Linked DNA regions of Bombyx mori. The protein of the gene in region 1 binds, or shares a complex with, the protein of each later gene. Links are inferred from orthologs where the notes say so. Each region holds a gene or a part of one and is shown in the gene's direction. Other genes may lie near its edges.

The links.
Region 2: Rrp40 (region 1) and exosome complex component RRP41 share a complex: the UniProt entries of both Homo sapiens proteins name them as parts of the RNA exosome core complex. The link is inferred for Bombyx mori from reciprocal best matches to the Homo sapiens genes EXOSC3 and EXOSC4.

What each region holds. Positions count from the first base shown.
Region 1 is NC_085114.1:14,716,134-14,718,972, forward strand, and holds Rrp40 (exosome complex exonuclease Rrp40), read left to right. Parts: upstream 1-1,339; 5' UTR 1,340-1,418; coding exon 1,419-2,129; 3' UTR 2,130-2,152; downstream 2,153-2,839. Other genes in the region: probable RNA 3'-terminal phosphate cyclase-like protein, read right to left, coding at 1-85, 548-839. UniProt on the Homo sapiens protein: Non-catalytic component of the RNA exosome complex which has 3'->5' exoribonuclease activity and participates in a multitude of cellular RNA processing and degradation events.
Region 2 is NC_085134.1:3,235,438-3,240,021, reverse strand, and holds the start of exosome complex component RRP41, read left to right. Parts: upstream 1-1,619; 5' UTR 1,620-2,039; coding exon 2,040-2,210; intron 2,211-2,565; coding exon 2,566-2,638; intron 2,639-4,064; coding exon 4,065-4,201; intron 4,202-4,584. UniProt on the Homo sapiens protein: Non-catalytic component of the RNA exosome complex which has 3'->5' exoribonuclease activity and participates in a multitude of cellular RNA processing and degradation events.

The sequences.
Region 1 (2,839 bases):
TCACTGTGGGTTACTCCTTGTAGGACTGCATTTAAAGGTTCCTTACAGAATGGTCCCAGGGCTAGTAGAACTTCAAGATAATAACCTAAAAAGGTTATTTTTTAATTTCAATTTGTCAGTCCGAGGATGAACATAACAGGAAGTATTTAAATGCTGAGTTAATGTTCAGACCATGGTATGGTTTGATTTAGTTTAGATAGTTACATCAGTCAAGCTGATGTCACTAAAACTACTTTCAAAAACAACCAAGGCGTCCTCACTCTGTCAAAACTTATTTTAGTATTTAAACTGGACTCTCCTAGACGGTTGCATGCCTGACAAAAGATTTATTATCCCATCCTATAGTATATATTAACAATATTTATTATGTCCATGCCTTGCTCCACTGAACTAGACTCTCCATGCTTTTAGCTATCAGGAGAATGTGTATGCTGAATTGTCTGAATTTCCAGCTGTAATCAAACTAATATATAATCTTCTAATTTAGAAAACTACATTCCTAATAACGTATTTGACGTGAGTAGAAACTTTATTGAAGACCACTTACCTATCCCTCTCTGGGTACAACAGTTGTGATTAACTTGTCCACCAATCAGTATACCAGGCTGGTAATATACTGAAGTACCGGTTTCGCTCAGCTCGACTCTAGTACCGTTCGTCACTTTATCCAGTAGCCGAATTAAACTGACTTCATATTCCCGAAGACCCGGGTCATCGTTGGTACTGCGAATGTCTTCTATTTTAATAGCACGCCCACTGAGAGTCGAAAGTAGCAATCTTTGACGAAAGTAATTGCTGCCCTTGTATTTTATTACGTCATTTTCAATTACTGCGGGCATTTTAATATAACTAATACTCCGAATTAGTTTTTCGGTGATATGTAAACAGCGAACATGTGCAAACCTCTAGGCACTGCGAGTTAGTCAACTGTCAAAAGTGTCAAAGTAATAGCAATAGTTGTATTTTTTCATCTAGAAAGGCAAAAGTATCAGACCATATACTATCTTTTAAATATTGTGGTATATTTCTATAGAAAATGATGTGGATGAATGAAATGAAGTGAAGTTAGTTTATTTGACTATGATTACGCAGCTTTCCTAGACATATTATGGTATTCTGTGATGGAACCTAAAGTCAGCATTATTTCAATGGATATCAGAATTACATACATGGGTACTGGTTTCGGCTCAACACATTTAATGTTATCATTACTTAATTTTATTTCCTTCGCCTAAATTTCATTTTTCATACAACAATTAAATGCATAAGATTTAACTGGTAGGTACCTATGCGCTATGTTTTCTTTGCCTATTGGATGGACCAATCAAATCAAATAAACATTGCTGTTTTAGAGGTTAGGGCTTTGTATTTATTTGTGTGTTCATTTATAATTCTCACTAAAATAGAACAAAAATATCATGAACGTTTCAATAGATGATGTAGTTTTACCTGGAGATCACTGTCCAGAGATCGTGGCGGCTGGCGAAAAAGGAAAAGTTCTACTAGGTCCTGGACTTCGCAAAGAAATTAACGGTGTTTTTATAACAAAACCAGGCGTATTACGGAAACGAACACCAAATACATACTGGGTGGACAATTATCAGAAGCGCTATGTGCCTTCTAGAGGTGAAAATGTGATCGGTACCGTGGTACAGAAAGCGGGCGATATTTTCCGTGTGGACGTCGGGGGGAGTTGTGCCGCATCGCTGTCATATCTGTCGTTCGAAGGAGCGACGAAGAAAAACCGTCCCGCAATCAAAACAGGCGATGTTGTGTACGCGAAAATGTTAAACGCAAGCAAAGATATGGAACCAGAGCTTGTGTGCGTTGATTCGCATGGAAAAAAAGGCCGACTAGGAGTATTAGAAGAAGGATTCGTATTCAAATGCTCTTTGAATTTAATCAGAAAAATATTAAACCCACATTGTCCATTATTGAACTCATTAAAGAACGAATGGCCATTTGAATTAGCAGCTGGCATGAATGGAAGGATTTGGATCAAAGCAAACACTATGAGAGAGACATTGGCTCTAGGAAACGCGATTTTGGGCTCAGAATATTTGAGTAACGATGAAATTAAAAGTATGTGTAAGAACATAGCAGTTTTACTCGCAGGTCATGTAAGCTAAAATAAATGAAAAACCTTATTAAAGAAATTTGTTTTCTTTTTAAGAAACTTAAATCATTTAGAAAATCTTCAATTAAGAAAATTTAAAGGTTTCATGTTCTGGGTCCCAGAAAAACCATTTGAAAGGAAAACATTTATAAAGTTATAATATCATACAGAATTTTCACATGTTCAATTTCTAGTGGTGAAAGGAAGTCAGCTCTCAGATTGAACATAAATGAGAGAACCCCCTAGGGAATCCATTTACGGATACCCAGTCGAATTGAGAAAAAAATTCAATGAGAGAACCTGACTAATGTTCAATTGACATTTTGCATATATGTAGACTACAAGCAGATCCCGTAAAGGAAACAAAACTAAAACAGTGATGGAAATTTTATTTTGGCAAATGCTAATCTAATTTTGAAATCTCAATACATAATGAAAACTGCTATGGACATGTATTCAGGACATGTAGCATTCCAATACTTATGACATAAATACATTTCATATTAAATTTGAACAAAGCCACAATATATACATAATACCAAAGTCTTCGTACAGGTTTTTATTTTTTTTGCTGTTTATTTTAAAAGATTTTACACTTCAGAACTCTTTAAAAATGTAGTCACAGAATCAAACAATATTTACATTATCATCGGAACACTTTAATTATAATTTAAGACTAATTTAACTATATTTTCTTATGTAAATTCAACAAACTTGAGTTGG
Region 2 (4,584 bases), on another chromosome or scaffold:
GAAGAGCATCACGGGAATACACTAATATGTCATCAACGTACGCAAAGCAAAAATCGAGACCTTGGACAACTTCGTCTATAAATCTTTGAAACGTTTGGCCTGCGTTGCGCAGACCAAAAGTCATGTAATTAAATTCGTAGAGTCCGAAGAGTGTTATGATGGCGGTTTTACAGATATCCTCAGGCGCAACAGGAATTTGCTGATATGCCTTAACGAGGTCGATGGTACTAAATATACAACACCCAGATATGTTATGGCCAACGTCACCGATATGGCGAACTGGGTACCTGTCAGGTATGGTACGTGAATTCAACGCACGATAATCGCCGCAGGGTCGCCAGGTGCCGTCGCGCTTAGGGACCATATGAAGTGGAGAAGACCACGAACTTTTCGAAGGTCTGGCTGTCCCGCACTGTACCATATCATCAAAAACCTTTTTGGCCTCTTGAAGTTTTTGAGGTGCCAGACGTCTAGGACGACAAGAGACTGGGGCGCCCTCAGTGGTTAGAATATAATGAACTGTGTTATGCTTCGGCTCACGAATAAGTCCTGGTGGCTTCGTAATGGACGGAAATTCCGCAAGAAGTGCACTAAATTGGGATGACGGCGCGCAGACAACTTTGACGCTGGTCTGGTCTAAAACAGCGACGGCAGCAACGTATGACAACCCGGTAATGCTATCGACGAGTCTCTTACTGGCACAATCTGGCAACAACCGATAATGCGCCAGAAAATCGGAGCCGATGATGGCGGTGTTGACGTCAGCGATAATAAATCGCCATTGAAATGTGCGGCGTAACCCCAAATTAAGCGCCATTTCTATGTGACCAAAAGTGCGTATCTCACTACCATTGGCAGCCGCTAACGTATAGTTTGAACGTACCGGCTTATTTGCTAACCACTGGTATGGGTAACAGGAGAGGTCGGAGCCTGTGTCTATTAAAAAACGGCGCTTGGTTGCGCTTTCGGTGACAAATAATCGGCGACTCTCCTTTAAGCAGTCAGACGTCGCCATCATTGACTGCTTTTGTCGTTTTCCGAAGATGGCGGCGGCGTCCAGGTACATGGTTGAATACACTTAACAGCTTTAGTATTAAATTTCCTATGGTAAAAGCACATTTGAAGCTTACCAGGCGTTTGTGAGCGTCGTCGCTGGTTTGAGAAATCCCGGGTCCTATTTCTACCGCGCTCTGCAGTAAGCACAGCAAGCTGACGCGTGACCTCATCCAGACGCCGTGTGATATCTTCTAACGAAGGGGTTGAGACGGCAGACGTACTTGCTGAGAAAACAGCAGATGAATGAGGTGCGACCATACCAGGCGAAACTTCCAAAATTTTGTCCGCTAGCTCAGCGACTTTGTCCAGCGAGAGTTCTGATTGGGCGGCCAAAATTGCTTGGAGATGTTGTGGGAGGCGACGCATCCATAGCTGGCGAAGCAAATTTTCATCAGTGAGGGTTTTTCCTGCCAATGATCTAAGATAACGTAAAAACTGCGAAGGACGGCGGTCACCCAACTCAACATCACTGACAAGTTGCCTGACACGTTGCTCATTAAATTGGAAAAATCTTAGTAAATAACCACCATTTTACTGAGATTATATTTCATCCCATATCATCTCATTTCATTTAATTTCATCTCAGTTGATTAATGTCTCAAATTAATCATCTTCGTTTCATTTCATTTCATCTCACTCCATATTATCATTTTGCATAAAAATAATAATATAAATTAAAATAAGAAATGACTTAAAGGTCTTAGTTACCAGGTCACACTACCCTGAAAAAAAACACGATAACATAACCTACAAAATAAAGTTTAAAAAATAATTGAACGAAAATAATATATTTATTAGTCTTTATTCTTTAATAACCATAACGTCCATAACCAATCTCATGAATTATTAGAATCACCGCGAATTTTAAAAACGGAATCGACTATGATAATATAACATAGTAAAAAGCAAATATTTTTAACAAAACAATTCAACATATTGAACAATTCATTATTTTTTAATGTGTTTTTGTTAGAAGTTAAATAATGCCCGCTGCCGATCTACTCTCGAGTCAAGGACTACGTCTTGACGGGCGGAGACCCAATGAATTACGTCGGATAAGATGTAAACTTGGTGTATTCACCCAGCCTGATGGAAGTGCGTATCTCGAACAAGGAAACACGAAAGTGCTTGCAGCCGTGTATGGACCCCATCAGGTATATGATACAAACGATTTACAAATACTGATTAGTTTACCGTGGCAAAACGTCTGTAAATCTGCCTGAGTAAATAATCATCACTATCCCGCTACTTCTGCTACAAAATTGCACTATTTCTGCTACAAAAGTGTAATGCCTTCTGGCTTGAAGAATAAGACAGCTATTTTACAATATTGAAGTATCGACCCATGTGCCAAGGTCGCATTCACGTCTTGATGTGTTTCAGCTTTAGTAACCAAATTCTTACCAAGTAGCTGGTAAAAAATATGTATTTACACATTTTAGGTACTTCATTTTCGGACACGTTCTTCATAAATGAAAAACCTTCATTATAATTTAAAATGTTTTTCAGGCTTCAAAATCGAAGATGTCGACAGAAGCTGTAGTTGTCAACTGCCAATACAGTATGGCTACATTCTCAACAGGTACCCATTGAGAGTTCAACATATTTTCAAAAGCCTCTTCAAATAAATGAGATTATATATAGAGAAAAAAATCTGTATGAGCTTAATCGCACATTAAAAATACACAAGTTAATAACATCCGTGGATTTCCAATCAATCTTAGAATTAATTTCAGTGTGTACATTTATTTGTTCCTGCACATCATCAGACCTACTGAACCAGATACGTTTACTACGTACGTGTAGTTTTTTTTATGGTGGACAAAAATTTGTTTGTAACAGAATAAAGGTTTTGTTTTATTTTAATCAAAAGATGCAAAAAGTTTTCATCATTTAAAGTTTTATGGAATTTACTTAGTGCCATTATATGTTAGAAAATATACAGCAAATAATAACATGAAAATGAAAGAAACTCTACTATGGGAAATTAAATAGGATGCATTTTATCCTAGTGTTAAGCACAGTCAGCGGCAGGCAATAGCTCTGCCCCTGACATTGCTGAAGTCAATGGGCGACATTACTGTGTGGTTACCCACTCACCATCAAGTAGGCCGTATGCTCGTCTGCCTACAAGAGAATAAAAAAAATTCTCCACTCACATAATATAATATGTAATTTAGGTAAGCATATAGCTGGCAGATAGGCAGTTATATTATAAATGTTATACATTTGAAAACAATACAATTATGTATGTGATAAGCCTGCAGAAGTAGGTACTGTTATATGTTTACAATGAAGCAATCATGCTTTGCAGTTTCATAATACATTTGAGATTTTGACTGTCTCTCAAAATCGGTGGCATTATACACACTGCGATGTCTATGTATTCTACCCATTTAAAAGTTAAAACTAGGATATTCCCTCGTCAGTACAAAAAGAAACTAAGATAGACCCAAAGATATGAATATTCTTATCTACACAACTTATAAGGGTTATTATATATATATGCCTATTAGGCTACATAACTTATTATTTTTTTTTTTTTTATTGCTTAGATGTGTGGACGAGCTCACAGCCCACCTGATGTTAAGTGGTTACTGGAGCCCATAGACATCTACAACGTAAATGCGCCACACACCTTGAGATACAGTTTTAAGGTCTCAGTATAGTCACAACGGCTGCACCACCCTTCAAACCGAAACGCATTACTGCTTCACGGCAGAAATAGGCGGGGCGGTGGTACCTACCCGTGCGGACTCACAAGAGGTCCTACCACCAGTAATTACGCAAATTATAATTTTGCGGGTTTTTTTTATTACACGATGTTATTCCTTCACCGTGGAAGTCAATCGTGAACATTTGTTGATTACGTATTTCATTAGAAAAATTGGTACCCGCCTGCGGGATTCGAACACCGGTGCATCGCTTCAACACGAATGCACCGGACGTCTTATCCGTTAGGCCACGACGACTTCTAAACGACTTATTATCGAACATTTCGCATCTAGGTGAACGAAAGAACCGACCTCGCGGGGACCGCAAGTCACAAGAAATGTCAATGCATCTCCGACAAGCTCTAACTGCTGCTATTAAAACTGAAATGTATCCAAGGTCGCAAATAGATATATACATAGAAGTATTACAGGTAAAACATATAATTTTTTTTTTTTAAATCCTTATCGACGGATTATATGCTATTTGGGTTATACGACATTTCGTTTACTATGCGATATTTATCTTTCTAATTAAAGGTCGGTTTTATTTAGTATTAGTATCACCAATCCAATGTTTTTAATTGAACTTCAGTTAAGTTTACCGCATTCAAATAGCTGAAGAAGTTTTTGTTGTTGCGATATTTTTTTCAAATTTTAAACTTTAAATGGCTCTCCTGTAAAGTAACAAAAATGTCGCTTAAACGAAATGGCCTTTCACCCATCCTTATGATAGCTGAGTCAAGAGCAGGTGACCTCACAGCTTGCTTGAAGTTCAGCGGTCACAAGTGTTCAAACAACTAAGCGTTTATGGTTT